Astyanax mexicanus: one gene and its partner. The protein of the gene in region 2 binds, or shares a complex with, the protein of the main gene of each other region. Links are inferred from orthologs where the notes say so. Each region holds a gene or a part of one and is shown on either strand. Other genes may lie near its edges.

Evidence for each region.
Region 1: cpsf2 (region 2) and cpsf4 share a complex: the UniProt entries of both Homo sapiens proteins name them as parts of the cleavage and polyadenylation specificity factor (CPSF) complex. The link is inferred for Astyanax mexicanus from reciprocal best matches to the Homo sapiens genes CPSF2 and CPSF4.

What each region holds. Positions count from the first base shown.
Region 1 is NC_064410.1:54,219,923-54,237,200, reverse strand, and holds cpsf4 (cleavage and polyadenylation specificity factor subunit 4), read right to left. Parts: upstream 9,244-17,278; 5' UTR 8,694-9,243; coding exon 8,591-8,693; intron 7,105-8,590; coding exon 7,054-7,104; intron 6,971-7,053; coding exon 6,818-6,970; intron 6,423-6,817; coding exon 6,327-6,422; intron 5,730-6,326; coding exon 5,636-5,729; intron 5,528-5,635; coding exon 5,455-5,527; intron 5,345-5,454; coding exon 5,171-5,344; intron 3,851-5,170; coding exon 3,782-3,850; 3' UTR 3,044-3,781; downstream 1-3,043. Other genes in the region: atp5mf (ATP synthase subunit f, mitochondrial), read left to right, coding at 645-752, 855-971, 1,102-1,130; protein BUD31 homolog, read right to left, coding at 10,521-10,571, 10,735-10,901, 12,285-12,407, 13,414-13,507. UniProt on the Homo sapiens protein: Component of the cleavage and polyadenylation specificity factor (CPSF) complex that play a key role in pre-mRNA 3'-end formation, recognizing the AAUAAA signal sequence and interacting with poly(A) polymerase and other factors to bring about cleavage and poly(A) addition.
Region 2 is NC_064408.1:84,772,277-84,788,989, reverse strand, and holds the start of cpsf2 (cleavage and polyadenylation specificity factor subunit 2), read right to left. Parts: upstream 7,674-16,713; 5' UTR 7,507-7,673; intron 5,657-7,506; 5' UTR 5,632-5,656; coding exon 5,483-5,631; intron 5,388-5,482; coding exon 5,228-5,387; intron 5,148-5,227; coding exon 5,042-5,147; intron 4,598-5,041; coding exon 4,468-4,597; intron 4,374-4,467; coding exon 4,258-4,373; intron 3,874-4,257; coding exon 3,686-3,873; intron 3,208-3,685; coding exon 2,917-3,207; intron 2,361-2,916; coding exon 2,260-2,360; intron 1,898-2,259; coding exon 1,694-1,897; intron 803-1,693; coding exon 650-802; intron 289-649; coding exon 63-288; intron 1-62. Other genes in the region: NADH dehydrogenase [ubiquinone] 1 beta subcomplex subunit 1, read left to right, coding at 10,226-10,365, 10,576-10,612; riox1 (ribosomal oxygenase 1), read right to left, coding at 11,333-11,401, 11,574-11,660, 11,778-11,877, 12,660-12,780, 14,259-14,400, 14,529-14,633, 15,632-15,810, 15,940-15,974. UniProt on the Homo sapiens protein: Component of the cleavage and polyadenylation specificity factor (CPSF) complex that play a key role in pre-mRNA 3'-end formation, recognizing the AAUAAA signal sequence and interacting with poly(A) polymerase and other factors to bring about cleavage and poly(A) addition.

The DNA of each region.
Region 1 (17,278 bases), on a different chromosome or scaffold from region 2:
TGCATTTAGGGTGTGGTGAAACATAACTAGTATAAAACTTGTGTTGAATAGCTTACATTTGCTTGCCCTCAGCGTTCTGAATTTCAGTGCTTTTAGCTGATTCTCCCAACAGGCTTACAATGCTAGAGATAGTGATAAAGCATTCACCTTGCAAAAAAATTACTATATTTACACCATTAACAAGCTCAGAGTACCTCCACACTTCATTGGTAGATTTGAGGGCCCTGATATTCAAAACAGGGTACTGAATTAATTTAGCAATCTATTTTTGTTTTTCTTTTGCAAGAGACTCCTCATTAAAAATATATATGAAAAAAATAATTGCAATCTGTTCCCCTACCTTACCTAGTCACTTGTGCTTGTAAGTTGAATTGTTGTGACTTAATTAAAAAAAAAAAAAACATTTTAAAAACAAACTACCAAGTCGAAATATTTTAGAATGGGACCTAAAGTTTGTTAGGCTCCTTTATGACCTTTTTAGATGTACAATCTATCATCCCATTTAGAAAATCACCTTAAAACAGTATATTTGATTAATCAAATAAAGTCAATTAATGCTTCCAGCCCTACTATAACTAATCTTCCTGACATTGTTTTAATGAATAAAAACTGTATACTTCATTGAGCTTCTTTTCTGACCCCAGTGCCCTTGGCTGAGAGGAGGTTGATGGATGTCAAGCTGGCCGAGCTTCCAAACTGGCTCGGTAAAAGGGACTTCACCCCAAATGGGGTCATTCGCTCAGTTCGTGGAGGTAACATGCTTCACTTTTAGGAACCTATGAACATTTTCAAAAGACAAGTATATCTGTCTTTCTAATTGCCTATATTAACTGTTGTTCATCCCCACCCCTCAGGCTATGACCGTTACTTTAACAAGTACATCAATGTGAAGAAAGGAGGTATTGGTGGTATTGCAATGCTCCTGGTTGGCTATATCGCTCTGAGTTACGCGTGGGAATACGATCATATTAGTAAGTAAATATTTAAATATATAATCTGTAATTTTCTGTTTTTCAGAAAGAAGCAATTTAATTCCTGAATTAGCAAAGTATAGTTGATTACTGATGATTAGTGTGTTTTTTTTTTCCCCCTACACAATAGAGCACGACAGGTGGAGGAAGTACCACTAAGGCTTCTTGGACACAATGGACCACCGGAACTGTCCGCTGCAGTGTGACCAGCACACCTTTATGCTTTCTGTGATACCTGTATAAAGTAATTTGTTGTGACCAAGAATTAAACTAAGATTATTAAGTATATCTTTTGTCCTTTCTTTTTTTTATATAAGTGTGTACATATATAGTGTACATGTGGTTTCACTGCATGTATGGGTTAAAGCCAGAGATGTATTGTAACAAAGTAGAACTACTTCACTACTGTATTTAGGCACTAAAATGCTGTACCTACTGAAGTTTTATTATAATTTCTCCTTTTTTTTTTAACTTCAGTTCACTACACATTTTCCATGAGTTTCATACTATTACTCCAATACATTTTTATGTGCTGCATCGTTTCTCATTAAAAAATTGTATCAATAAAATCAGAGTGGTAGATGCTCTGCACTTACACTGTGTTTGATAACGCTCATCATCTTCGAGAGATCAAGCTAAACTCTTAAGACCTCGCTGCTCCCGCTCTCCCGTCTTTTACTCTGGGAACTTTCCACTGCATTTTGTAATAAATTCGTATCACACTCCTGTACTTTTACTTTTAGCACTTCAGTAGTACATTTGAGTGAATTATTTATTGCAACACTTGAGTACAAAAAATGTTAAATACTTAAGTACTTCCAGTTAAGTGTGAAGCTTAAAGAACAGTTCAACTTCTACTTAAGTCACTTTTTTTTACTAGAGCACTTGTACTCTGTTTAAAAGTGGAGGCCAAGCACAAATTGTAAATATGCTTGTCTTTGTCTTCCACTAGTCCATCCCCCTGGCCTAAAATGCCCTTGAGCAGGAATCCCAACTCCAAACTGACCATACTTTGTGCTGGACATGGATGGAATTTGGCCTTTGTCTTTGACCTGTACTTGCAGTAAACACACACACAGTGACCTACAGTGAGGCTAAGAGCCTGGAGTGGTGTGTAATGCCATTCCTGCGGTGCCTGGGGAGCAATAAAGGGCAAGAGCCTAACAGTGGGAGTAATGGACCCACAATCTTGTCATCAATAACCCAGTTTTCTAAGTGCTGAGCCACCAACCTACAGGTGGCTGTAGGGGGTTAAATGTGGGGGTTGAACTGTATTGTAATAAAAAAGGTTGGATAATCTAATATGAATCACTGTTAGGGCTGCCCGATATTGGGAAAAAAACAATTCTTGCAATGTACAGCTCTGGAAAAAGATTGATGATCACAAGCCATCAAACCAAACTGCTTGAATTTTTGCACCAGGAGTGACAACGTTTTCCAAAAGCAGTGTGTAAGACTGGGGGAGGGGAGAACATGCCAAGATTCATGAAAACTGAATAAAACCCAAGGTTATTCCACCACATATTGATTTCAGAACTCTTAAAACTTTATGAATATGAACTTTTCATTGCATTATTGGAGGTCTGAAAGCTCTGTATCTTTTTTGTTATTTCAGCCACTTCTCATTTTCTGCAAATAAATGCTCTAAATGTCAATATTTTTATTTATAATTTGGGAGAACTGTCCACAATTTTTCCCAAAGCTGTATATTTGAACAATAAAAAGTATAAGTTTCACCTGAACTTACTCATAAGTCAGTGAGCCAACATGACATGATATTAATATTGCAATCTGTGACCAACATTTGAACAAAATAAATGATAATGGGCAGATGTAATCTGTCTTTGGTATGTAGTGTTTGGTATTACATGTAGTGGAAAATAAGTACAATGTTTTTTTTCTTTTTATTATCAAATATGACATTACACCTCCTGCAATGTTACTATTATTCATCTCCACACTGCAATCGATGGCAATGCTGAAACAATGCATCTTGTGCAGACCTAATCACATTGCTTAATACAAACTCTTCTTTATCAAAAACAGTATAATAACAATCACAGTGTTCTTGATTATTTCTTATGATCTTTATTAACCAGAAAGTACAAAATGCATCAACAAAACTACTCTATACTCCATAATCAAAATCCACCTGGATCCAGAAAAGAGACTCATCTCTTTGAAAGAAGGCTCACAACAGACTCTTAGGTAATTTTCAAAAAACGTATTGTGACTTGGACGTTCAAGTCCAGAAACTGATTCTCAAAGATGCGATCAAAAAAGGCCAGTGTGTAGCAGTGCGTGCTATCCATTAGTGGGATAGCCACATGTCTAGCCTTAGACATGTAATCCACGCAACACATCTAATTCAGATTAAGCAATTCAGATTAGATTAGGTGGAATTTCCCAAAAGAATGACTGAGACTTGAATTCACACTATTAAAAGAGATATCAATGAAAAAGAAAACACCACAGTAAGGGATGTGCTTTCTACAGCCCCATGATATTTTTATTTTATAATGCAAATTTTACTGGTCACCCTAAAATAGGCGTTTCCCCTCAATATATAATAATAGTGAACTCAGAATGAAATCAGAAAGATTTGTTTGCATGAATCAAATCAGATGGTCTTTATTATTCACTGAATTCTACCTGCTGAGATTATCTGCCCTCTTAGAGAGTCACTCAGTGCACGTGTTCCTGGTAAGGAGTGTAAACTGAAGTACCCTCCAAAAGCTTTCCAGCAAAAAGCTGTCGTTCCAATCCTCATAGCACTTGTGAGAGGAAATTCCAGCAGCTGCAGATGAATACTACTGTCCACTGAGAAATGCCAGGTGTCCTTTTGTGCATTTGTTGGCATAATGCCCCTTCTCCCCACACTGCAACACAGTAGAAAATGACAGGTCAATAAAAAGAACATTAAAGTATTTAAAGTATCATTAAAATATCACTATAATCAGCAATAATATACGGAAGGGAGTGCTCTAACATGTAATATTGGCACTGCTGTGCTGCAGTCGTAGGCAGAAGGTCGGAACGAACAGTGGTATAGTATATATTATACCACAGTGAGTTTCGCCCCTGCAATGTGATTGGCTAAGGGGCTTTCTATGAGTGCCATTATCAGCCGGTAATGCACTGCAACCGAAGCTCTCAGTGTATTACTCCGCAACATACCTAGCAATGATGCAGCACTTACAAGCCAAACAGCGCAGCTACAAACAGAGCAGCAATAGAACTATTTCAATTTCAAAAGTGATTATAACCAAACAGATCATGTTTTCTCCTCTTCTTTAACTTAAAATCTTTCAATAAACAAAGATAATGGAACTGTAGTATAATCACAATAATGCACTCGAGGTTCGTGCTACAATGTGTACAACGTGCTACAACTAAATCCCATTAACCCAAACAAAACAGAGAGCATGTTATGAACTCCAAAATGTAACTAAACATTGTGGCAGTAAAAGCATCATGCTCCTTCCTTTACGGTTAAACTGCAGTGACACAGACACAAAAACACACAAGTATAAATACCCAGTAGGGGTGGCCGATATGGCTCTAAAATAATATCACAATATTTCATGGTATTTTCACGATAACAATACTTTTGCCGATATGACAAAACACTGAATTAGAAAAAATATTTTGAATTTTATTGTTGCATGCAATATGATTTGGTTAACTGAGATATTAAAAACAAAAATAATTTTATTAGATTTGTAACAGAAGTCAATGATCCAGAATGTCATGATACTAATAATGCATTCCATATATCTCCATTTATCCAGGATTAAAATAAAATAAATGATACTGGATGGATATAATCTGTCTCTAGTAGATATATAAAGGGTATTTAAAACAGTGTAAATTTTTCTTTTGCTAAAAACTGCAAAAAAGTAGAACCCTGATGTGATAATTAGGTAATTAGGGGTGGGTGATATTGGACGATATTTCAGGGTATAATATCGTTACCGATATTCTACATTTTTGGTGATATTATCATGAACAATACGATATGGCACACCCCTAATACCCAGAATAGCATAGGCCATTTGCACATGGAATATATATGTAGACTCAATGCATTATTTAGCTGTAAGCCACCCTCCATACCTTCCAGTGCCCCAATATCATAATATACTTGTCCTAAAGCATAACAACAGTTTTCTAATTCAATGTAAGTGTAAGTTTTCTACCTTGTAACATGTAACTTGGTCCAGAGGTCGAGGGCCGCGGGAGCCACCCATGTGGTTCTGATTCTGTGATGGCCCATGCATGTAAGGCATTTTTTGATGGAAATTGGGGTTGTTGTTGGAGTTGGTTAACTGGATGAGTGATAACGATGATCTGTTCATATTCGGCATGTTCTGCTATTTGGAGAAAAACAACAAAAACAAACAATTAGTGTTTCTGCACTGTAGTCATGCACATTTCAAAGTCATACACATTCCAAAGTCCCAAAAAATTAATTAATGTTTACCTTCTGCTGAGTCTGAGACTGTTGAGGTAGTGGTGGCTGCTCAGTCGTACCCATAGGCAGCTCAAAACGAGGGCTGAAAAATGAATTGATCAATTAAAACTGACTCAATACCAATCAGGTTTTCTTAAACAATCACAGAATGAATTAAGACAGAATTAATTTAAGAATGGACTGTACTCACTGCATAAATTTGCACCCTTTGCCCTCAGGACAAAAGCCTACTAGGTAATTGACACAGATGACCCTTCTTGTGTGTCTGTGTCGACAATCCGGACCTTAAATGAGAGAACAGGACAGTTCACACACGTTTAATACGTTATAAATACAGGAAGGTGTATTATCCTGCAGTGAAAGAATATTTCTTACTCTCCAACATATATTAGATTATTTTATTTCAGCGTTTCTGTGTGAAACATTAAAAAAAAAAAAACATAGATATACAAAGATAGATATACTCTAGAATGAAATAATCCAATATGCCATGATCTGTCATGAACAATGTGCTTTGTTTATCATAGGTTGAGTTAGGGGAAATTAGACATATATAATCTGTAAACAAAATCTGGACACTCTGGAGCACCAAACACAGACACACGGACATCAGGTCCAATGCTAGACGCCAACTAGAGAGGTATAAAGTCCCCCAGCACTGGGCTCTAAAGCACTGGATAATTTGGATAACCTGGATAAAAGGTCAATTTTGTATAGAAACCTCCACACACACAACATGTAGATGACATTAACATACAACATAGATTGGCATTAAGACACAAGATAAATCATCTGTGATTGAGAAGGAGAATCACAAACTGTGCCAAACACTGAACCTCCGGGACCCCCTGATGTATGTCCACTAGAGTACACAGACTTACCATGTTTGCAGAATCCCCGATCATACCATGGACAGTCTTTAATCTTAGATTCTGGGTCAATGTGCAAGAAGGGGCATTCTTTATTACTGCACTCACCTGTCAAATATAAATAACACATTTCAAAACAATAACAAATCACATAAGCTAAAACATATATCCATAAAAGCCCAGATTAAATCTGTATCATAGCCTCATCATCATACTTTCTTATAAACAGACTGCTTTTAAAGCTTTTAAATGACAGTAGTATTTAGGTGTAGATTCTATAACAGTAAAAGCTGCTATAGCTATAGAGTATATAGGTGCAGAGTTTATAAAAGTAAAAGCTGCTATAGCTGTAGAGTATATAGGTGTAGAGTATATAACAGTAAAACATGCTAAAGCTGTCGGGTATATAGGTGTAGAGTGTATAACAGTATAAATGTGCTACAACAAAAAAACAATTTGTGAGTACATTTTCAAGTAACCATATGTTAAGATTTTTTTTTTACCAAATTTGGAGTAGAAATAGCACTCTGGCATCTTCGTCATGTCATACTCATGTAAAAATTCACACTGGTCCCCTTTCTTGCATAAACCTCGCAGCCAGTGTTTACACACAACTGTCTTTTCTCCACTGATGTGCCGAAAAGGACACATTCCACCTGCAAAAGTAACACAGATTAATTATGTCCAAGCTGCCCCAAAAAAGCTTTTGGGTTATTTTTATAAATAAACTACCACTTACCTTTCAGACAAGCAGCTTTCATGAAAAATTCACACACAGCGGCACCGGACTCTGTACAGAGAAACACAGAGTTACAGTAGAACAAAACTATATACACAATCAGACAGGTAGACAGAGAGGTAAACCAATAAAACTGGTTTGGCTGTGGAGTATAAAATACACATACATAAATCTGTAGAGTACATATTTGGGCAAAGTATATAGCTATTAATCCTACTATAGTTTTGCAGTATATTGCTTCACAGACTGCTTTAGCTGCAGTGTATATTACTGTAAAATATACAAGTATGAAACCGGCTATAGCTGTAGAGTAAATAGCTGGTGGGTATATATAATCCTCTATCTGTATCTTAGAGTAAATTTGCTAAACTGTAGAATATATATGAGTAAATCTACTAAAGCTGTAGTGTACATAAGAGTAAAATCTTTTATAGCTGTAAATGGAGCACGTAAAGGACAGGAGTATATATGTGTAAAGTATATAACAGTATAATGTGCTATAGCTGTAGAGAGAAAGCAGGTAAAGGACAGGAGTATATAGCTATACAGTATATAACCATAAAAGCTGCTATAACTGTTTGGTATACAGCTGTAGAGAGGGAGCAGGTAAAGGACAGATGAGTTCACTGTATATGTGTAGAGTATATAACAGTTAAAGCTGCTCTAGCTGTAGAATATTTAGATGTAGAGAGGGAGCATTTAAATGACAGGAGTATATAGGTGTAGATTCTATAACAGTAAAAGCTGCTATAGCTATAGAGTATATAGGTGTAGAGTACATAAAAGTAAAAGCTGCTATAGCTGTAGAATATATAAAAGTAAAAGCTGCTATAGCTGTAGAGTATATAGGTGTAGAGTATATAACAGTAAAATGTGCTAAAGCTGTCGGGTATATAGTTGTAGAGGGCAAGCAGGTTAGGGACTGGAGTATATAACTTTAGGTGTAGAGTGTATAACAGTATAAATGTGCTATAGCTGTAAAATATATAAAAGTAAAAGATGCTATAGCTGTAGAGTATATAGGTGTAGAGTATATAACAGTAAAATGTGCTAAAACTGTTGGGTATATAGCTGTAGAAGGCAAGCAGGTAAGGGCCTGGAGTCTATAACAGTATAAATGTGCTACAGCTGTAGAGTATATAGGTGTAGAATATATATAACAGTATAATGTGCTATAGCTGCAGATTATATAGGTGTAGAATATATATATAACAGTATAATGTGCTATAGCTGTAGAGTATATAGGTGTAGAATATATATAACAGTATAATGCGCTATAGCTGTAGAGTATATAGGTGTAGAATATATATAACAGTATAATGTGCTATAGCTGCAGATTATATAGGTGTAGAATATATATATAACAGTATAATGTGCTATAGCTGTAGAGTATATAGGTGTAGAATATATATAACAGTATAATGCGCTATAGCTGTAGAGTATATAGCTGTGGAGGGGGAGCAGGTAAATGACAGGGGTTGAACTTGAGTTATCAGGTGAACTGAGCGTTGTTGTTTAACTGGCTCAGTGAACTTACTGTCCATCCCTGGAAACGGTAAGGGCTGAGCGCCGAGCTGCTGCTCCACAGCGATCTCCAGATCAAACTTGAGGTGATCAACGTTGGCGATTAATTCCTGCATGTTTAATCTCTTTTCTTGTGCTTTTTAACAAACTTACAGCACTTACAGTCTCCCCCATACACAGCCCTGCAGCTCCTGCTAACTGGCTAAACGCTACACGTAGCTTGCTAGGCAAAAACCTACCAAATTTAACAACAAGGCTGTGTGATATAGGAGTTAAACCAAAGCCACCAAGCGCTACAACATGTAAAAACTCCTAAATCCTCCTTCAGGAGCAGCAGTTTAATAAACCATAGCGATTATCTATCAGAATATTCCGCTAACTAATAAACACAGCAGCGCCCCTCGCTCCGCTCCCTCCGCGCACACTCACAGCCCCGCTCCTCCGCCAGGCCGCTCAATCAACCCCAGCACAACCCAGAGAACCGGGTCGCCAACAACCGCACTTCTATAAGATTTTATCAACAAAAAAACAATTTACAGTGTATTTAAGAGGGTCTTGATTTGCTAATATAAATCATGTATATGCTGGGATACCATACAGTCGCAATATAGCCCAACCAAATACTCTGTTATTGATTAAACAGTCCAATGAACGCTTTTAACGGAAGCAGCAGTAACAGACGTAGGGTCTGTCCTAAACCGCACACAGCTGCACTACATAGCCTATATAAGTAGTGCACCACCCCTAGAAGTGCACCGACTAGTATAGAACATTAAGCAGCTTAGAGAATCTTAAGAGAGTGTGGTTTGGGACGGACCCCAAGATCCACGTTGTTTAAACCAAAGCAGCACAAAAGTCTTTTTCCAAAAAAGCGATTTGACCTTATAAACCACGTTTTTAGTTAAGTAAGTAAAATAAAGAAAATATTAATGAATTAAAAAATCGTTAGCTATATATATACTATTCTTTTATGTCTAAATTTTTATATTGCTGTACTTGTAGCTTTGGGAAGAAGAGTAATGTATTTCAATCCTCTGTATGTTCTGTACATGTGCAGTATTGACAATAAAACTGAATTGAAAATAGATTTCTTTATATTTTATATTTTTAAAAGGAAAATAATCTGCTACTGCTGCTTTGACATACTACAAAACATTAAATGTTGCCTGTGCAAAAAGTAAATGGTAAATGTGTTTAATATGTTAAAATCAAATAGAAAATAACGTTAATTCCTGTGCTTTAAAATTTTTACTTTTAAAAAAACATCATATTGTGTCCTTTTGCATTTTGATTCTTTAGGAATACATTCATGCTGGGGATCTCCTGTTTTACCAAACACAGAGATGCTGATGGATTCCAATCAGATGACCAGCAAAAATAAATTTAACCCCCACTAGAGAGCCACATAACAACACAGAACGTATTGTCTTGTCCACTAAACCAGTTAGAAAGACTTTTCCTTATGGCATGGTTCATCATTATGCTGGAAGTAGTTATAATAAGATGGAAAATTATGAATTTATATAAATTTTTTTCTAAACTTTAATCTTCATGCTGACATTTTAAAAAAGACAGTTCCTATAGAAGTTAATTAATGTATTTTGTATTCATGTTTCATTGTACTGATGACTGGTAAATAGTTAAATGTTCATGTAATTGACAATTCAACAGTATATGTAATTCTTTATAAAATGTTACAAAAAAAGCACAAACATTTACAACAAGGATTTTATTTTACAAAATGAACAAAGTAAAGAGCACATTTTAAAGGTTTTTGAAGGTAATTTGAATAAAAATGACATTTTCACAAAATACACAAATGATGAACATTTCTACATTCACTTACAGACAATCCGGAATGAAAGCAAGCAGACACTTTTAAAATCAAAGAAATCAAAATGTTTTGAGCCCCAACATCCCAGAAATGAAATACAAGCCCTTGATTATCCGGAGCATCCTCTGCACCCACAGTGAGTGCACTCAATGATCCGACCCTGTTTGGAATAAATTGAGAAATCTATTAGACTATTAGAAATGGGCTGTAGGCTTTATTAAACATGATGTTGGTTTATAATAGTAAAAGGGATATTAATGACATGAAAACTAAAATCAGCAGCTCATTAAAAGCAACATCAAAATTGTACCGTACTAACTTACCACTTCGAGTTTTCCTTTAGGAACTCGACATATGCAGTTTGTGCCGAAGTTGGTGTCACGTGTCTGAATGCAGCGAAGGCAGCAGAGGTTTTCGTAGCCCTGTTTCTTCCACTTTGCTATGAGGTTTTTGTCGGCGTATCCCTCTCTTATGCAGTATTCATACAGCTCTGGGCACACAATACAGAAACACTTTTACTTCAACATCAATATATAACCTTTTAGTGTACTGCTAATCATACGTTTTTTTTATCTGCACTATTGACACTTTACTGTACACCTGCACTCCTGAACACTAGCCACTTTACAATATATGCATATTTTTATCCAGTATTCCCTTTATCTGCCGATACCTAGACCTCTTGCACATTGTTTTACTTATCACTGCAGTGTCTGTTTAGTTCCAGTAAGATTCGAATGCATATTTTAACATATTTTCTATTTATTGTCTACACGTGTATATTTGGAGGCAGTATTTTTCTTGTTTATATTCCCGCACTGTTCATAATAAGCTAATAATTGTAATTTGTAATTTGTTCGTGCCTTATTGCAACAAGTGAGATGTATAGCTATACCATCTAGAGCTAATAATTGTACTCATTTTGTTATACTGCACCACCCTTATTGTTGTGTGCCGTTTTGTGTCAATGGTACTGGCTGCTACATTTATTTCAGGATCAATAAAGTATCTATGCATGTATCTATGTATGTACATTGCTGGTCAAATCAGTTCAGTCAAATAGTCAAAATCAATTCAGGATTTTTTCATTATTTAAAAATGTTCTGCATTGTAGATTAATTCTAAAGTCATCCAAACTATAAAGAAAAACATGAAAGATTTGGTACACTAAAGTGTTAAACAAACCAGAATATGTTTTATATTTTAGATTCTTCAAAGTACCACCTTGTTTAAATGACCGATTTACACATCTTTGTTGGATTTTCTCTTTATGAGGTAGAGTCACCTGGGACGGCTTTCAGTTAACAGCTGTGCTGAACTTAAAAGTTAATTACTTGAATTAATGTGTTTGAAAGCATCAGTTGTAAAGTTGTGAAGAGGTAGAGTTGATAAACAGTGAATAGCGCTATTTGAGTAATGTTCTAATCCATCCTATGGCAAGAAATACTCAACTAGGCAAAGAAAAAAACACTTTTAGAAATCAAAGTCACTGATTTTTTTACTTTGAAAGTATCACCAGTGCAGTTGCAAAGACCACCAAAAATATCATGATAAAATTGTATTTTGGTTCATTGTTTTTTTTTTTTTTAAACACTTACGTCTACCATATGATTCCTTGTGTGTTCCTTCCTTTGGATGACTTCGGTATTAATTTACAATGTAAGCAAAATAATAATAAATCAATAAATTAAATAAAAACATTGAATGAGAGGGTATGCACATATTATTTATCTATTGTCTATGAAGAGGTTTGCTACTGTTAACTGTAATACCAGACTGTTATTAACTAGTGACACAAAGGAAAGTATCATAATATCATTATAATTATACCGGGACTATAAATTGGTAAACTGGATATCTATACTGAACTCACCTCTACTGATGGCCTTTCTTTTGTAGAACAGGTCGAAGATATAGCGGCTCCGCTGGTGGTGAAGTCTGAAAATCGGCCACAGAGACTCCACTTTACGTTTTCCCTCATGAGGCTCAGTTTCAGCTGTGGATTGAAGGCAAAATGTTTAGCAGCATGTTCAGGATGAATTGAAGGCAGTAACCTAAAATGAGGGAACAAGAGATTAACAGATAACCCCACCCCCCCCCCCCCCCTTTCTGTATTCGATTTATTTATTTTTTCCTTTGCACCTAAAGTGACATCATGCAAAAAAGAATAAAGCATGGCCACAACTTTTTAAGATGTGGGAATGAGAGCCTGAAGCATGACCACAACTTTGGTGTGAGAATAAGATAAAATGAGATGAAAATGCTCCACATGGTTTTTTCATATATATATATATATATATATATATATATATATATATATATATATATATACACATATATATATATACACATATATATATATATATATATATATATATATATATATATATATATATATATATATATTACATTATGTCACCATAAGTGCCCAGAACCATCACCAGAATCATTTTCCTTTACTTGCAGTTCTTTAGCCCTTTCGGACCTGAATTATCTCCAGTGATGGAAAAAAAATATATAAGAATGCTGTAATACACAGAAAAGAAAGCTCTAATATTTTACAATAGAAGCTGCATAGCAAATAAATTCAATTAACTAAAATCTAAAACGTGTGTAACATTTATTTTTTTATTTCATAAACCAAAAAGAACATGGTTAAATATTGGTGTAAATCACATCAAATTACTAAAAACTAGCTGTTACTTTCACTCATTGGCTTTAGAACCACTGTTTTTCTAGTCTGCAGTGGATGGGGCCAAGCTACTGTTTCATTGCTTTATAATCTCGTTCATGGTCTATTCTGAAGGACAACAATGGATATAGGGTCTGAAAGGGTTGAATATCGCCGATTGTATGTAACATTATCTATAAACGTTCTTTAAACAGTAGTTAAACAAAGACAAAGTTAAGAAGTTAAACAAACAAACCCCGAACAGCAGCAGTAGTAGTACAGTTAGCTTTAGCTTGTTGGCTAAAAATACTGGCGTCGGGTCTGAACTCACCTTCCCTCATTTTCTGATCCAGCTCGTCTAAAGTCGGCTCAATCAGCTCCCAGCCGTCTGGTGGAGGCTTCCTACTCCTCTTCACTTTGGGCATGGCTTTAAATTAATGTTAAATTAAACAGAAATAGAGAAAAAAAACACAAAAGAGAGACGTGGGCTGTTTCGGCAGGGAAACACAGTACAGCACACTCAGCCCAAACTAGCCTAGCCTAGCTACCGTCTCTCTGAATCGGCGTCACTGAGTGAGGGGGGCCTGCCTGCAGCAGGATGGCTCAAAAATACGCGTAATCGAGCTGTCCTTCCCCCAAATCCTACCAGATTATCCTAAACACCCTCACCATCAGTTCTATTCGAGTCTGACCCCATGAACACAAACACTACCACCTTAAATCCACCTTTAAAACGCGAATAAATGAGTAGTTATCTCGTGTTAGCTGACTGTTGCTCAGGATTCTGCTCTATTGCATCAGGTTAGCGGGGTTAGGTGTCCCCGACGGTGCCTGTCTGTATATCAGTGAGAGAAGAGAACACAGGAGATAGCATGCTTGCCTGACTGATTTCTAGTTTTACTTTATTTTTTTGTCATTTAAGTTTAAAAGCTGATATCTGATCTCTTTAGTCTATTATTTTATATTTATAAACTATAATATCTGACAGTCATTTCTCGAAGCGAGAACCGACCATAACAGACCAGGGTAGCTAAACTTAGATAACCAGGGTTGGGTGACAAGCTTCTAATTTTAATTTCACAGCTTTTCCTGCTGTTTACATCCACAATTTAAGCTTTAACTGAAGAATTAGTGACTGTATAATCGTCAACATGCCTAAAGGAGGTAAGACTCTGCTTATACGTCGACTGTCAGTCAATAGTTACTTACTGTAATTACACATCTGGTTTAATGTAAATAGTTTTTTCAAATGTTTTTTTTCTGTTTGTGTAGTTATTCTTATTATATTCTTAGATTTGCAGTTTACTGTAGAGTTCTTGTCTTAAAATAACCATGTCACGTCAACATGAATGATTGACGTTTAGCTATCTGTACTATTTGCCATGTTGGGAACAGACTGTAAGGTATATATATATATATAAATTGCTAAGATTAGGGGGGAAATTACTGCACTTCTTCAGTCAGACCTCTAATTCTTCCTTTCACTGCTGAAACTAAGACATGGTCCAATGGTCCATTGTTAAGCTGAGTTTAAGGCGCTGTTGCCATGTGGTTTAGCCAGACATGCATCTTCCTGTACCAGTTTCTCCAGTTTCCAAGAGTCTTTTGAATGTGTAGAACACAGTATTCACTGCTCTGCTCTTCAAATCTATATTTTGTAATTTCTAACTATTGTGATTAAAGTGTGAATGTGCTGTGTAAGTGTGCAAATGCTGCAGTAGAGAATGCAGTAGCACCCTCTGTTCCAGCACTGCATTACTTCAGTCAAGACTTTGGAAAAATTACATTTTATTTTTAAAATCCATTTCCAAAGCTCAGTTTATTTCCATTGCTACTTACCAGCTGTTAGCTGTTAAACAGTTAATAGTTTTCTAAAATCACCCATTCTTTAATAAACTATATTTTCTTTCTTGTTTGTTTTTGTTGATATTGACCAATAGCTGATATCAGTATGGTGCAGGTTTTATGTAGAATGAATGGATTTGAAAATCAATCACAATTTCTATTTTAGGAAGAAAAGGTGGACATAAAGGCAGAATGAGAACATACACAAGTCCAGAAGAAATAGATGCTCAAATGAAAGCAGAAAAAGAAAGAAAGAAAGTAAGTTGCAATGTTAATTTTGCGAAAGTTACATTTAAGTTTACATTTCAACAGGTGAGTTTCCATCAACTAAATGCAATTCATTTATGTTTGCTTCTCAGCAAGTTGTTTTCATCAAACTGACTTTTTGCAATGAAAATAAAAAAAAATCCTTCAAAAGCCTTGAATAAAAGTATTTCACATATTAACCAGAAAAGGCTAAATGTAAAAAGGTTTTACGTCAAAAAGCCTGTCAGCTGACATTTTGGAGAGTTAAAACGTGTTTTTATTTGTGTCATGGAAACCTCAGATGGAGAGAAGTGATTCTATAGAGGATTGCTTATGTAATGTCTATATACGCAGTATTATAATAAACATATATATATATATATATATATATATATATATATATATATATATATATATTTGAAACCTTTGCACAGATTGAAGAAGAGGCAGATGGAGCAACAGTGAATGATGACAACCAAACAGAGGACAAACCTGCTGGGTCAGGTTCAGAGGACAGTGATGAGGAGGACTCTGATGTAAGATTCCGTCTCTGTTTTGTGTAGCACTCTGTAGCACCAGTTATCTTATGACGATTCTCCTTCTTTCTGTTAGAAAAAGAAGGGTGTGGAGGGTTTAATAGAAATAGAAAACCCCAATCGTGTCGCTCAGAAGTCAAAGAAAGTTACAGAGATTGAACTGGAGGGACCCAAGCAGCTCTCTAGAAGAGAAAGGTACGCCCTATAAAGCTGGATCAATAACAGATCCCAGATAACATGCCTATGTGGACCTGTATGGGTAGCCAACTAGGAACCAGAATGTTTTATACACAGGTTCCATGTTGGCCCCACAAATGAATATCAGTGATCGGACCGGGGGGGTTAGTCAGAAAACATAATTGTTTGGTTTAAATGATTTGGTCCTTTATCAAATTTTGGTTGCTGAATATTTAGTGCATTCCTAATATTGGGTAAATATAATCTGCCTCTGCGTTTAAGGAAAAATATTCCCTTTGTATTAAGCATCAAACAAACTAATGATGCTACTGCATATGATATTGCATGCCTTGTAACTATTGTGTATGTACATATTGCAATAATTATACAGAAATTATATATATTGTGCAGCCTCATCTGCTGTTATTGTTTTATTGTATGTCTTTATATGTAAACATGTCTGTTTACACTTCAGAGAAGAAATTGAAAAGCAGAAGGCCAAGGAAAGATACATGAAGATGCATTTGGCAGGAAAGACAGATCAAGCCAAAGCAGATCTTGCTCGGCTTGCTATCATTCGAAAACAGCGAGAGGAGGCAGCAAAGAAAAAAGATGAGGAGAGGAAAGGTAAATTCTTAAAGTTTGAAACACTTATATTGTAATATTATAAATGTTATATGTTTTTTTTTTAATTATTATCTTTTCTTTTCTTTGTGTTTTCTTTTCTCTTCAGCAAAAGAAGCAGCAGCGGCAGCAGCTGCAGCAACAAAAGGACTTCATACATTGTCCCTAAAATAAGACAGAGTTAAAGAAATATCAGAAACTGAACGGTTGTATTGACCTTGTGGGACAGTACAGTACACAGATATATTGACATTACTATTTTTGAAGACAGGTTTGATTGTGTTGTTCTGCTTTGTAAGAAATTACAATGCAAAGTTCCACTGAAAAGGAATTATTTATGCAGTTTGAATGCTAACTTTTAAAGTAGGCATTTGATAGTCAGTCAGTGCTTAAGATTGATGCTCCAGCAGAGGTCGGGGGTGTTTTCACCAAAGTGGCTAATTTACAATGCCTAGATACTTTTACTCTGATACTACATATATATATTTATTAACCTATTAAGTCATGTAAAAGTGAGTTTTCTATCTGCGCTCTCAAAGTAAATTACTGTAAGATGCAAAATTATGATAATCAGTTTTTTTTGCTGCAGGTGAACTGGAATTAGAGAGATGTCTGGGCGATATTATTCTCTTCCTGCAATGTATTAGAAAAGATAAGCATCAGTGAAAGGTCAAGTTTCCTGCTTATTAAGAGATATACGCTCATTGTTGGATCTCTCGTTCTGCTACTGTCTACTGTACTTGTTTGCTGTTGAAGCCCTTAAAGTCT
Region 2 (16,713 bases):
CCATAATCTTAATCATGTTAATAGTAAATATATAACATAAAATATGTAATTAATGTCATTACCTGGTAGATGTGTGTTTCGCTGGTGGCGTCCACAGTCTCCTGAAGCTTGGGGGTGTACACTTTAATGTCTTTTCCACAGAAGGCCTTACACGAATCTGCCAGGTCCTGGCTGGCCTCTGGAGGCCCGTGGACTATGACCAGCTGTCTGGGCTTCATCTGGTTTATAATCTTCTTAATGGAGTCTCCATCTGAGCGGCCCTCGTAGTCTATGTATGTGACTCGAGCTCTAGTGACACAAAAATGAACAGCCCTTGTTAAAATTTTGCAAACGTTCATTATAAAACCCTGCAAAACACCATTATTTTATTATTACTTAAGCTGCTTAATTAATTTTGTTGTTATTCTTTTATTATTATTATTATTTAGTGTATTTTGTTTTAGCATACTCCTGATTGTACACATTACACAAGAGGACAGCAAATCCTGTCTAATTTCTGTACTTCTTTTCATTTTAAAATTTAATTAAAACTTAATTAAATTGCCCCCAAATTGGCTTTTCTCTTGTTCAAGTTCTCCTATAAGACGTAGTACGTGGTTGAATCTTAGACACATATTTTACACAGACAGACATGCAAAAGGACACCAACCTGATCTCCAGGTTCTCTGTGGTGCACGTACACTTGGTGGGGACGTCCGACAGGTCCTGGTCCATTGGCTCATCTCCATTAGCCATACCGGACTCCAGCTTACTCTTCTCCTCCTCTGTAGCCTGCAGCTCAGGAACCAGGAACTCCTCTGGCCTGGGAGCAGCCACAAAAATGGCATGAGTGATAGAACAGGGAACACGGTTCCAGACACAGACAGCCTTAGGCATCAAATTATATTAAAAATAGGTGTGCACATTTCTGAACCTGGAGATCTACCTCTCCACCCCTAACCTCAAACATCTGATCCAGGTTATTAAGAACATAATAACAGGTGTGAGATTCAGGTGTGTTAAACCTGAAATCTCCAGGATGGTACATCTTTAAGGACCAGAATTGAGCACCCATGTTTTAGAACATCATGATGATTTTCACACATGGCCATATGGGTTTGGATTTTTTTTCTGCTTTAATAATTAAAACATTTATTTAAAAAAGGCATTTTGTGTTTACTTGTGTTGTCTTTAACTACTATTTAAATTACTTTGATGATCTGAAACATTTAAGAGTGACAAACATCCTGAAGGGGCAAACACTTTCACACCACAGTAAATATGACATAATAAAACAGTCACTGTTTTGTATAAATGAATAATTTTTGTCACTAATGCCATACACAAAAACTGCTTTTTCTGTTAAATATTTTCAGTTGCCAACTCCTTAATTTTAGTCCATTAAAACACATACAGAACACAAGACAAGTTTAGTTGGTGCTCTGTTTAAGGAGCCTACAATAAACTACTTACTCAATAAATGTCCCTTGTAATATGTAACGTAATAAAGACTTTAGTCTGACAGTTACACTGGATCTGCTCTCTAACAGAAGAAGAACTGTATGAAAGTTTTTTACAGGAGCATATCTATATCTATCACTTTGTGTGTTACCATGACCTCCTTTTTTAAACTGTGTTTCAATAAGGTGTCTTGATGTTTTAAATGGACCCACATAGTTTTAGAAGAGGAGCTGCAGGCCTTACAGCAGCTTACCTGATGATTTCTCCATACTCATCCCATTTGATCCTCTCCTCGTGAGAAGGAAACATGGGGTAGGATTTCTTGGCCTGTTTGAAGAAGCCTCCCTTGCGCCCCCCCTCGCCTTTCATCATCAGGTCATGGTGTTTGGTCTTCCCCATAGCAGGCTGCTCCAAATCATCCTCCATATCACTTTCATCACTCGAGTCCACATCGACCCTGAGAACAAGAAGACAGAAGCATTAGCAAACATGAGACACACTCTCCTCAAACCTTCAGTAATCCCTGCTGGACTTGCCGATGTGGTTTCTGACATTTTTTTAAACAAACTTTTTGACTGCTTGAAGCTTCTGCACTGTACTCAAACTTCATAAAGAAAACTCATAAAAAGGGCTTTTTTTTACGGAATAAACACAGGCAACACCCAACATGATTTACAGGGTTGAACAAATGGTTAATGGGGTGAATGACAGATCGTGCTTGGATTTTTGTAGGTTTATAAACTTAATAAATAAAAAAATCAAGAAATCTCAGTCACGCGTTACCTAGCAAACAAATAATAACTGCACACTATGACTCACTCTTTTGCTTGTTCAAGTTTCTTAGCAGCTTCTTTCTTCATTTTCTCCTTCTCCAGGTACTCCTCCAGCTCACGACCTTCCAGTTTGGTCCTTTTCTTTATCTGTTTTTAAAAGAAAAAAAAAGTTAGCTAACAAATTAATTCACTGTTGCATTCAAAATAATTAGCAATACCACACATCTGATTTTATCATATTAAACTAACAAACTGATGCCCGTGTTAGATTTTAGGTTTTCTTTAAAACATACACATTTTTCCTATTACAAATTTAAAATGCTATTAGTAGAGGACTCTGGGAAGTCATGAAAGGACGTTATGAAAAACTGACCAGCAATATCACTGGTAAGATAGTTATAATTTTTATGGAGTGCAATGTGTGAAATGTTGAATAAAAACTTTTTCTTTTCACTCCATTCTAATGAATCTGAATATAGAAAAATCTAAACAATGTATTGGATATTGCAGTTTAGCTTGGTCAGAAGTTTAATTTATCATTAGGTAGAATAAATTGCTAATCTATATTAGACCACCTCTTTTTCAATTTATTTGGTGTCCAAAAAAATCTTCTATAGACTTTAAAATATGGCATGTAACATAAGAAAAACTTGAAATTATATAAGCCAAGTACTGCCTAATTCTTTTTCCGGACAAAGCTCACCTCCAGGTCTATCATCTTCTCTCCAGGATTGTCTATAAGGTATCGGGCCAGTGTACCCGGTGTGGTGCGGTAGGTGAGAATGATGGAGTTTTTAGAGTCCTGGCACCACTGGATAAAGAGTTCCCTGGAAAAACCTGATTCCAAATCAGGCTGGCTGCACAGAACCACTTTAGGACTGGGCACTCGAGCCAGATCAGACAGACCGTGACACAGAGAGAGGTGACGGAACTGGAAGGGGTTGTTTCTCTTGTCTTCAAAGCATCGCATGAGCTTATCACTCATCCACTCCACCTATTAGGAAAAGAAATAAATGCTAAATTGTACCACAAAGCAACAACCTCTGCGATCTCAGCTGAGCCTTATAAGGGGATATTTTGATACAATTTCTACTCGCAAGTAAAAACTATTAAAGTTATTTAAATACATGTAAAATATGTAAGAAACATTTACTTTAACAATTATTTGCAATAACTTAAATTTTCTTTATTATAAATATTGTAAATCTGTGTTGTGAATATAGCTAGTAATTATGAAAATTATTGTCAATAAATTGATTAAGACTGCACAACAATACTCATTCACAAGTGGAAGATTTAGTCACTTCTAACTGATTTGCCGTAAAGTGTGAATAAAGCCTGAGTTCCAGAGCCAATGCTGATCTAAGCTGGACTGGATCTCAGCTGTGCTACAGCTGAATGTATTAAACTTTGCAGGGTTGTAGATCTCTTAAACAATGGACAGTGGAGCTTGGTTGTGAAGTATGTCAGACCTGGGACTTAGAGAACTCCACAACATTGTAGCTGACATTGTTGAGCAGAGTGAGGGAATACACCCCCAGCCCTGCATCCTTGGTCCTCCAGATTTGATCCAGCAACTGAGCCAGCTCCAGCACACGTCCAGCTGTATCCACAGCGATCAGCACATTGCCATCACCACGAAGAGTCTCCATAATATTAGCTGTAGGAGGAAAAAATACAGCTTAGCTTCACCAATCAGCCATTTTTAACATTGCATAGATAGACTGCACTGAATGAAAGCATGCTTGGTAACATAATGTATGTAAACCTAATTTTATTTTATTTTATTTTATTTTTAACTTTGTGACAAAATGTCTTCATTATTGTCAATGTCAATGTGTTAAGTCAGTACATTACTGGTTCTAATATTAATACAACTATATGTGCTGATATAACCAGTAATTGCAATATTAGATCCTTAAAATCAGTAACAAACAAATAATGGTAAACTACTTTGTATCACTAAAACACTTAACAACAACACTTTAGGTACTTTATGAAGGTGGCTGAGAGGCTCAAGCACTGTGAAGGTCAGTAAACTTACTCAGGAGCTGCTCATCACGCTGTTTTCTGCGAGGCTGAACATAAGTGGCATTGAAGGAATCAGTAATGAGCAGGGAGGGTCGGCTGATTGACTCGAGGGAACAACCGTTTAGATGACTGCAAGATTCAAGCAAATAGTAAGTCATTTATTTAGCAGAAGCAAAATATCAATGGCAAACATCAGCATGTTTAAAACGTTTAGCCTACTTACATTTCTCTCTTATGATTAAAGTCCACAGCATAAATAATCTCCTCCTCTCCATCTTTCACTATTTTCCAAATGGTCCCACCAATCATATGACCAGCAGGAAGCGGAGTGATGGATAAACCATGACCCTTTCCTAGAAGAAAAAAAAAAGATATGAAAATACAACAAGTGAGAAGTCTGCATGTATACGTAAATTTGAAACATACAAAGTAGGGCTCTCGTTTCACCTATATTAATAATATAGAAATATACAGATTTCTCCGACAACTTTAACAAAAATGTATGTACACAACAGACAATGTGCCATATACACTATTTTATTTATTTATTATTTATTTAACCGGGCAAGTCATTAAGAACACTTTCGGGTGTGAACTGTTAACAGCAACAGTGGAAGAAAAACGTTATCCGCTTTATGCCTCTAAAAGCTTAATATAAAATGTTCTATTTAAATTTTTACATTGACTCAATCCATGTGCTGGCATTCAACAATTTTAAGACAAGATAATAGCTATCCCTTAAAGCAATAAAGTTAACACTTAATTAAAAAAAATTGTACAGTGAATTTAAGAATTACCTTTCAGATTTACAATCTGTGAGTATTTTAACTGCTGGATCTTGTCAAAAGCTGAGTCCACATCATCTAGTGTGAATAAGGAAAAGTCTTCTGTGTTGTGACGAGACTGCAAGAAAGAACATCTTAGCAAAAACAACAATAACCTGTTTGTCAAAATGTCAATTTGCCAGAACCCTCTGTCCATACCTGATAGAGGTCATACATAAACATCTGTCCCATCTTGTACACAGGGATGGTGGCATAGATGGTACAGTTGAGGCCCAGTTTGCCAACTGCATAGGGTAAAGCGCCCAAGTGTAGTGGGTCTGGATGAGAGAGAAGCACTGCATCGACTTGGTGCACATACCTGCAAAGCAACAGGGAAAACATTCTGCATTCAAATACAGCTGATAAATTAAGCAGTGCCTATAGAATCCACCAATGGAGATCATGAGCATCCACCTTTTCATAGCATCTATGATGTCCATGGAGAAGCTCTCGTCCCAGCCGCAGTCCAAAAGAAAGCGGAACTCATCTACCTGTAACAGGTAACAGAGAGCAGACTCCTCCTGCACGCCGGATACGGCAGTCAGCTTGATGATGGAGGTCATCTTCAACACAAAGTTTTTTCACACTCTAATGCGGAGAAAACAAGAAAAAAATGTTACAGCATATAACTTCCTACACAAACTGATTAGACTGAATCAGTCATAAAAAAACAGCTTTTAGATTTAGCAACAATGAACTCTTTACAGGTTACAGCTCTGTAAATATACTAGTCACTACACAGCTCAACAAATCCCAACACAGATAACCTAGTTAGCTAGAGAACTAGCTACTAATTTTGGTGTTAAAAAAAACAATAGGCTACATTGTTTACTTCGCTTTTATTAACCTATTATGCTAAAATGAAGCTGGACTTTATACTGTGAGCTTCTAAATAATACGGCTGAAGTGGACATTTCAGTTCCACCTTAAATAGTACACCTGTTGGACTGTTGAAGGTGGAAGCTCACAGTATAAAGTCCAGCTTCATTTTAGTTTAGTAACAAGGCAGAGTACACACTGTAGTTACTAATTTTTAAACACCAAAACTAGCAGCTTGTTCTTGAACGATGCCTGTTCAGTTTTGTTGAGCTGTGTTGTTACTTCAGCACCCAGTTTTTTTTTAAAGTACAATGAGGAACGAACAAAAATGATTACAAAAAAATTAAAACATCATAGTGGCTACTCACTGCACATACTGATTAGACTGTATCAGTGATAAAACCTGCTTATCCTACATATTTAGCAATCACAAGGAGTAGCTATGCAAATATACAAGTCACAATACAGTTTAGCAAATCCTAAGTTAACTTGGCTAGAAAACCAGCTACTAATTCTGGTGTTTAAAAAACAATAACTACAATTTCTGCTCTGCTTTGTCAAGAAATAAAATGAAGATGGACTTTATCTACTAGTGCATCTCAAAAATTCCACAGAGTGCTCTATTTTAAGCAATCATTTATTGTATTGGCTTACAGCCAATGAAAACCCAATTGCTACTTTTGGCAGTGTGGGCAGTCCCGCTGGAAAATTAAATCCACATCTCCATAAAAGTTGTTAGCAGAAGAAAGCAAAGTGCTGTAAGATTTCGTAGGAAAACACTGCACTGACTTTGGATATGAAACAGTGGACCAACACCAGCAAATGACTCCAAACCATTACTGATTGTGGAAACTTTACAATAGACCTCAAGCAGCTGTGTGCTTTTCCTACAGATTCTGGGTCCTTGATTTCCAAATGAAATACAACATTTTCCGATAGTCACTGATGGTTTGGAGAGACATGTAATCTGGTGTGTTGGTCCACTGAGTTTTATCAAGTCCAAAGTCAGTGCAGTGTTTTTCTGGAAAATCTTACAGCACTTCATGCTTCCCTCTGCTGACAACTTTTATGGAGATGCGGATTTCATCTTCCAGCAGGACTTGGCACACTGCCCACACTTCCAAAAGTAACAAAGGGTCTTACAAAGGGACACTAATTTTGGGGTTTTCATTGGTTTTCATTTAACAATAAAATAAATAAACGCTTATAATAGATCACTCTGCGGGTAAGCTATATAATATAAGTTTCACATTATATGATGCAGCAGCTAAGTTACATATAGAGTGAAACGGGTGTACAATTTAAAGTGGAACTGAACTGAAATGTCCAATATTAAGCCCATTTCAGCCTCGTTATAAAAAATACAAAGCACAGGAAAGGTACTATGAGTTTCTATTGTGTATTTTAAAACCGAAAAAGCAAATAAACCTGAATACTTGGGTTTAAAAATAATCTTCAACTAAATACATTTTACCGGTCAGCTCACAATAACATCAGGTTAGCTAAGCTAGCTAGGCAACCAGCTTTGAATCAACTGAAGGCTAGCGTTAGGTTAGCGAGCTAGCTAACAGAAGCTAAAATGAAGGAAAAAAAAGTCATATTAACGAACAGCAGCATACCGGTCGAAGAACTAAAGAACTTCACATGAACGTGTGTCCCGATAAACATGTCCAAACCGCTCTCAGCGTCATTTTTTATTATATTTAGAGGAATTTCACTGTTCAATCTCGCCGCGCTGCGCCATTACAGAGCAGGGTCGGCGGAGCGTACCACTTACTGCGTGTTTTTAGGTGAAGCCGAACTAATTGTATTACATTATTTGCGTTTTAAAATAATACGATACATGCTGCAGATCTACCGTTTATCACACAATTTTAACTATATTTAATTTTATCGACGAATATAATTAAAACAAAACTTAATATCAGCAGAAATAAATAAGTCGTCGCTCCCCCGCGTTTTGAGAAAGGTGGTAGAGCTCAGTGCCCTCTGAGCAGCTCCACAGCGAAGCGACAGGAGACGAGGAGAAGGTAACGACACTTTTGTGATGTTTTTTTTTTTCTGTAATTATGTGGGATATATAGTGCTTTTGTTCAGGTAAAAGTAGTAATTGAAGCAGTCGTAATTGTGTAGTTTGTTGAAGCACACAGTAAACAGCTTCCTATGTGAGAATTATGGCTGTTAGGCTAGGCTAGGCTAGGCTAGCTAACTCTGAGGCTAGTACAGGGGCCTGCTGGTGTTGGTGCTGTTGGTTGGTGAGGTCAGTTAGTTAAACCAGGCAGGGGTATGATGAAGGGTTGTGCTACTAAATATCAGATTTAATTTATTTAATTTATACATATTTGTGATTAATCTGGTTTATTTCTATAATATAGTCCCAGCAAGGAGCCCTAAATATAACATACTAAATATCAGATTTAATTTATTTAATTAATACATATTTGTGATAAATCTGGTTTATTTCTATAATATAGTCCCAGCAAGGAGCCCTAAATATAACACACTACAGTAAAATAAACAAGACGTCAACCTAAAATGTCATTTATCTGTATGAAACAGTCCTAAATCATGTCTGTAAAGATCTGAATGTCAGTCATGATCAGACGTGTATAAAGTACTAGAGATTTAGACTTTAGTAAAGGTACAAATTGATAAATTGCTACTGCTAAGTTTCCTTTAGGATCAATTATCTATCTATCTATCTATCTATCTATCTATCTATCTATCTATCTATCTAATCAAATGCTTTATTAAAAATAGTGATGAGTAGAAGTTGAAGTGTTCTTTAAAAGGGTAACTAATCCTCCGATTTTTATTGACGCCACCCTCAGTTTAAATTTGGAAAAGGCTACAAAAAAAAAAAGAAAATAGGAGGGGGAAGTGTGGGAGGGACACTGGGTAATGTATGGGTTTAGGGGCGGGGAAGAAGGGAAAGCTGATTGGCTAAGCAGCAGCAGTAGCGTGCTTCAGATACTTGGACTTATTGATTGTCTGATCTGCGTATTGTGATGTAAAATATTTATTTTTTTCGTACTTATGTATTGTTTATTACTAATACATAATACATGTATTATGTATTATTTTACATTTTAAAATAGTTTATTCTAAAATGTAGTACTCAAGTTTGGAAAGTAAAAGTAAAGTACAGTGCTGTGTAGTTATTACTAGGGATGTCAAACTCAAAACTCAAAACAAAAGATGAATTGATTCATTTGAATCTGTGTCTCAATACATTAATTCGAAGTCTGTATCAAAACAAAAACAAAAAATCATGTAACTGTCACAAATCAGTGTTCATTATGTCACAGGTTATACATTTTTTGAAATCCTAAAATAAAATGCAAGCAGTTTTTCCCCCAAATGTTTCTAAATGAGTTTTTCAAAATCTGATCTGTGTGTTGTCAACATGACACATGACAACATTGTCACATTTTTTAAAGAGGTTAAATGCATTGTAACTCTTCTTTGTAAAAAGGCACAAACCTTGCACTGCTTTATTCTTCATTGCTTCTAATGTGCCATCATTTAAAAGTGCCTGATTGCCTACCAGATGTCACTGTGGTGGATGATGATTCAAACATCTCACGAAATGTAACCTTTTTCCAAATCAGTTGGTTCATTTGATCTTTCAAAAGCCCCTCTTTCATTATCAGTTATTACAGAAAGCAGTTTGAATGTCATGTTGCAGGCAGGCAGCAGAGTAAAAGGCAGAACGGGAGTATAAGATCAGCATCATTTGATTCACTCAGTGATGAAGAGCTTCATCAAACCAGTAACGGTGCAGAGCATCCACTGATCTGGATTCTTATTTTTTTTTATAATTGTAGTATTCAAAATATGTAGTTAAGTAAATGTGGAAGTAGGAGAAAAAATTATATTCCAGTAGATACAGCATTATAGTAGTGAAGTACTTTACTACTTTATTACTTTACATCTCTGTCCATGATCCAGATACACCAATATTCATATTAAGAGTTAATTTGCAATTATAGCATCTCTGATATTTTTAAAGGGCCATTATAATGTAAAGCAACAACAGTTTGTACCACTCTCTCCCCAGCTCATACTGTACATGATAACAAAGCTGAAACATCACTTGTTTTAAGCCTGTTGTCTTTGGGGCAACGCATCTACATGCAGCCACCTTTTTTGAACTAACAGAAGTTTTACTCCACCAGTTTACTCATTATAAGAAGTTTTATAAAATTCTACCCAATGTTACAATACACTCACAAGACTCATTAACTACATTTTATCATTCATTTCAAGCCTGTAGTTGAAAGCTAGCTCTATTACAGTCAGTAGTGGAACTCATTGTACTCTCATCTTACAGGCATCATGGTGAACTTTGCGTTGTTGGTGCGAGAGCACTGGGTCAATGTCCTGGTTCCCCTGGGATTTGTTGTTGGTGTCTACCTGGACAGGTGGAATGATCAGAAGTTGACAGCATTCAGGAACAAGAGTGCGTTGTACAGCAGGTGTGTGTCTCACATAACCAGCACCAAGGTGCACTTACTCAAATAATGTATAATTAATTCACTCTATCATTTACTTTCACATACTCTTTATTTGTTATGAAATTATTTTGATGTGAGCTAGCAAACACTTTTTTTTATAACAAACATTTTGTTCTGATAGATAAAAGTTTATTAAAATAAACTAAACTGATGAAAGGTCTGCTCTTTCAGGGAACTGAAGCCTGGTGAGGAATACACCTGGAAGTGAAGACTCCCTCTGCATATTTATTGGACCTCCTGCTCTGTTCATGTTGACATTCTGTTGTCCTAAGCCCTGTAAATGACTTTTCAGTAACATTTGTGATGTAAAATATATTGATCCAACAAAACTGCTGTCAGTGTTTTTTTTCTCCCTGGTAGTTTATTGTAATTTCCTGCGTCTGTTTGATGCAGAGTTTAATTGTACATTTGTACAGATATTAAGCTACACGTCAGCTTTTGCATATCAGTTAATTCATGGTTTTATGTTTCCCCCTAATGAAGGTGCATACACACTCTGCCCAATACAAAATACAGTTCAAAAGCTACCACAACTGTAAATGCCCTATGTTTGGTTTGGCTGCCTTGTATTAACTGGCTAATGCAAAGAGGAGGCAGAAGCCAAATGTTACAGCCAAAATAGCAGCTATTTTATATATACGTTTTTTAACCCCTTAACATCACTGGCTAAGCTAGCACAAAAGAGATACAAAATCACACTGGCCTGTGGCCACCTTAATGATAACTTCAGAATTTCTTTTTTTACATGTGCTGCATCTTGTAGAAATCAAAAAACCACACGTTACTGTTTTTTGTCATTTTATTTTATTTTTTGCTGTGAGAAATGGCAGTGTTTTATTTCTCTATAATGTAGACAGGTATAAAGCAGAACAGAGAACACATGTATATGATCACACATGATTTCATTAATAATCAACAAATTAACTTTTCACTTTGCCTTTAAAGATTCAGATGTGTGGATTATTCCTTTCTCAAACAGCGACTCTGCCAGTGATATCTGTGAATAGTAAATACACAAAATTAAAGCCATTGTAGGTTAAAAAAGAATGTAACATTAATGATAATGTTCAAATCTAAAAGTTATGAACATTTATTAACAATACAATACGTTATGCAAATTAATCTTTGTGAAGCTACACTATTCAAGTTCTGATGAAGGATTGTTTTACCTTGTTTTCTTCTGTATCACATGGTAAACTGGAGACTGTGATAAACTTTGGGTAAGCATGAATGAGGAACTCCAGGGCATCTGTGTGCTACAGATTCATAAAAATAAAGCAACAGCTCAACTTTCTTTTAGTTAAATACAATAGCATTAGAAATCTAAAGTATCATCATATTGTTTTTTTTGTGTGCAAAAGTAGAAATGTTACCTCTTCTTTAATCTCCATGCTCTTGAGTTCTTGTTGATGGTAAACTCTGGAGTTCTCAGTGGTGTAGTAAAGGTGAACGGCTCCACCATCACCACACAGCCTGTGGAGAAGGAACATACCCGTGTTAAATACGCAAAGTCTGAATCTAACATGGTTAATCACAGTACAGTGTGGTTATCTATATGTAAAGATGCTGGATGTCACTTTAGTTTTATTTGAGATTTGTATGCTTAAGAAATTAAATTTAGAATTCTAAACAAATGTTCTCCATTGTCCTATCCTGTTCTTTAAAAAAATGTATTGAATTCTGTAGAGCGGCAGAGAACTATTAAACTAATTAAAATCACTTGCTAAATCAAACTTGTGTTATTAGATGAAACAGCAAAATTACATTTCAGTCTCATGTAAAATGTTATCTGTGAATTCAATATGTACTGGTAAACATGAGGCACCATTACGATTTACCATGAAAACCCTGTTAATTATTTTACAAAGTGCAGTGATTAAACAGAAACTAAATATGAAATAGGCAAAATGCAAAAAAGCTCTGCATCCAGTCTACAAAAAAAGGGTTTGTATTAGGTTACTTAGATATAGATGTTACTATATCAACTGATATTGATTAGCTGCATATTATTTTATTTACTTAATATTTCTTTCCAATGTAGCTGAGCCAGCTAAACCAAACAACCATGTAACAAACAAATGTTAAACCAAACAAATCATTCTTAACAACTGACAATTATTTTGTTTATTAACATACCGTAACACTGTTGGTTATGATAGAATGTAAATAAAAGCCTCTTGATTTGACTTCTTCAGAATAATAAACACTTTGAATGAACAGAACTGAACCGAGAGACACACATGTTGATAACTCACCTAGCAACCCCTGCCCGGATGAGTCTGATTTTGGTCTGACCCTTCATTTGAACAGTCACATTCACAGCTTCTCCATCCTCCCACCGTGCAGGAGCTCCATACACACTGCTGGCTTTCTCCTCTACACACCACACAAACAGACAAAGCTGTGTTACCTCACACTTCACATTCATATTTGAAGATTACACCAAAGGTAGATCTGATTATGCAAATGTTTGAGCTGTAATTCATTTTTGAATGTTCAGATAATCATCCTCCAGCTACAGTAATGCACTGTTTATGAGATTACATAACATCACAAGCCAAAGCAGCAGACGGAGTATTAACAAACACCAGAGAAAAGGTGCTATATTACACTAGTTCTAGCATCCCTGCAGTCACTGATTCGTCCTTTTATAGTGGATCAGCATTGTCTTTTACTGCTTTCATGTGCATTTAAAGTAGGGATGGAAAATACGATACAAATTTTAGTTGTATATGTTGTATGTATCTTTTGTGATGCTTTGCCTCAAGTTTCAGTTGTCTTTTTTTGTAGACTAAAATTGATAGTCTTAAGTGTTTATTTCCCCCTTTTTAAGCCCTTCCAGAGTTTTCAGATTGTTCTGGATTAAGTTACTTCCAAATATTTTTCTGATTGTGCAGACGCCCGAATTCACTTCACTGCTAACATTACCAGTGAAGATTAGCAAGCCTGTTCCATAAAGGACCATTAAGGATTATATTTACTGTTGTAACTCATAACATGATCATGATGCATCATCAGATATTAAGGAAACATGTTAAGTTTAAGCTCTGACAGCTTATATCAGCAGAGCTTCAGACAGTATTTTCTTATATGAACTGTGCAGTATGTCACAAAAATCTGTGTGTTCCTTAGCTCACTGTGATTCCCCCAGTCCCATTTCCACACTCAGGTTTGCCAGGTATAAACAGCACCATGTAAACAGTGTACTGTAGCCATGGAAACGGACAAGCTGGCCTTTTTTCTGCTGTAGAAGTAATCAGTGAGCTTCAGTAAGGTAAATCTTGTGATATGGCCTCTATATTTCTACTCTCAAACAGAGGCTTTAGTCTGGCTCTGTGTTAACTTAAGAAGAATTCTGGTTTATACATGGACATGCCTAAAGTCATGGGGCAGAAACTAGTATAGAATGTTCCATGATTTTTGCCATATATGTCCCATATAAGCTGAAGACTGCTGCACTGACCTGTAGGATATGCATGTGGGTCTCCTGCTTTGAATGAGGATGTGTTTTGCACATGGAAATTTTAGCCAAACACCACCGTTCACAATCATTACCACCCACTGTGCTATTCACTGTGGCTTGTAATGACTTCCATTATGCATTCTCTAAATACCTTTTTTTAAACTTAAATAATTTATTTCACCTTGCCATTAACGCACAATTTTTTTTCCTCACAACTTTAAGATCAATTAACATGCTGCTATCCCTTATCTCAGTGTATTTGATGTTGTACATGTGTACATGAATATTTGATAATAACCTCGAATGAGTTTCAGCCAACAAGATGATGATTACAAAAAAAAATAAAAAATTTAATCTAAGTAGTAAAAGTATAGACCTTATTAAGGGTTACCTGCATTAAGCATGGGTGGTAGACAGTCATGAAGGAATCCCAAGGCTTTCTGATCCACAGCTGCGTCCACTGGAGCGTAAGACACAAGCTTCTTCATTAAGCCGTCCATGTGGGAAAGAAATCTGTCTCTGCGTGGATCCTCCTGCTTTCACACACAAACACACAAAATGAATGTGTAAGTGATATGCAGTTAATTAAGACTTTAAACATATTTCCCTTGTGTGCATGGATGCATCAGTGATGTATTGGGATTAGTCAATAAGCCCTCACCTTGTCAGAGTTTTGAACTCCCATGAAGGAAAGGTAATCAAGCGGCAGCCCTTTTCGAAACTCCACATCCTCCTCCATCGCCATTTCCAAAGCTGCTGGCATCACCTGTCAATCACAAGGGATAAACATAAACACAAGTTCCAAAGTCATTAAATAAAATATTTCCACATCATTAAATGTTAAGCATGACACTAGACAATCTCTCTGCTATGTTTTCAGTTCATTTGACTGTGCTTTCAGTTCTGCGGCCTATTAGATTTAGTACATTTCTGGACACAGTGGCATATTTTGGTTTAGCACACTATTCTTAATTATAATTTTCTACCAGCTCTTTATGCATCACCTTAATTTAACCCACTAAAGTCCACAAATTTGCTGGCCATCTCAAAGTCTCTATTTATATCTTTGCAATAATACAGTGCAGAAATATGGTTCAAATATTTCCTGATCATATGGACTCTGCTCTTTTAAAGGCATCATTCCAAAATAGCAGGTCACTGTCAACCAGAGCTATAATGCTATGATGAAGGGTTACGGATTTCTATTGTGCCCCAGAGCCTAATTTTTAATTTTAATAGTTTATTTAACAGGGACAGTGTACATTAAATAGCATTACTGTAAATGCACCAGAATTAGCCTAAAGGCTATTTTTCATCCGTTGTCCCCGGACAGATCTGGAAATTCTTTTCTATGCTGAAGAAGCATGTTAAATTAAATGGCTGCATCTAAAGTTATTTCACTTTTAAACTAAACAAATCAATAAGTGCTTAGATATTTTATGAGAGTCTTTTATTCGGTTTCACACAAACGATAGACAGATATGGACCAATTAAGAGATAAGAGGAAGATGACAGAGACACACAAATCTATCAGTTGGAGAGGAAGAAGGCAAGTTCCTTATTGGCACTGCATTATCAGCAATATGTTAACAAAAGCATCAAAAGTACCGCATCTGCAAATTTGTCATTCTTTTAAGGCTAATAGCTTATGTTTTTTTCCTGGTTTCTGACAGATTCAATCAAACAGCAACTTGCAATGGACTTTTTATTATTATTTATAAAACAAAGAAAAATCCAAAATTGAATATTTCCATTTAAGCTCACCTTAAGTAGCAGGTCACCCCAGCTGTTCCTCTGATAGGAGGAGATGGTAATGTGTAAAGAATGAGCATCTGGGAGACAGTTGCCTTGGTGAATGAAACCCCGTGGAAAATAGAGCAGGTCACCTGCCTCCAGAACCACGTCCAATATGGGCTTTCCAATCTCATTCTGACTGAAATTAGCTTCAGAGAGCAGTAGAAATAAGAATTATACAAAATCACATTTCTTCAGTGTTCAGTTACTAAAACTTTACTTAAAGATTGACAAAGATTTTTACCAAAAATAATAGTAAAAACTGAAGAACTACTTACGACTTGACACGAGAGGTAGTGTTTCATCTTCAGACCTGCAATACAGCAGAATGACAGTTTTGGAGCCAGTAGTTAAGATACCACTAAAACAATGCCATTGAACAGCTGATCACACTTGGAGGAGAGCACTAACTGCTAGTTATTTTACATCAGCTAAGAGACACCTGCTCTGACTAGCACCACACTAAGTCCCATCCTTCCCTATTCAGAGAGAGATCTTTGCAAGCTCCAGCAATCTCTCAATGATGCGCCTGATGCTTTTCTTTTATTTCAAAAATATATATATATATTATTGCATTTCTTAAAGCTCTAATACATAATGAAGTTATTTCACCTTGCATAACTTACATAAACTGTGACATCCATTTAAAGCAGCAGACCATTAAACCTTAAGATTTTGTCTTTCAAATTTAAAGCATTTAAAGTGTTTGCGTGAGAAAGGGACAACATTTTTATAATAAATAGCATCAGTGTGCTTTAGCTACTATTCCTGCAAAGCCCTATATATATTAATTTTATAAATAGGGAGTCAGGTAAGTACTAAGACATTTTTCTGGATAGAACTGATTTTGCTGGTTACCTGAGCAACCATGGTGGTGCTTATGGTGCTGATACAAGAGCTACTGTGACCATGGAGATATCAGAACAGCACATCCAGTCTTCATCTGCTCATTCACTTATTTATTCATCTGTATCTTTTTGTGGGCCATCTCCTACATTTTTCTTGCACTTGTTTTTTTCTTTGAGGTCACCATATAACCTTTGTGTTGGTTT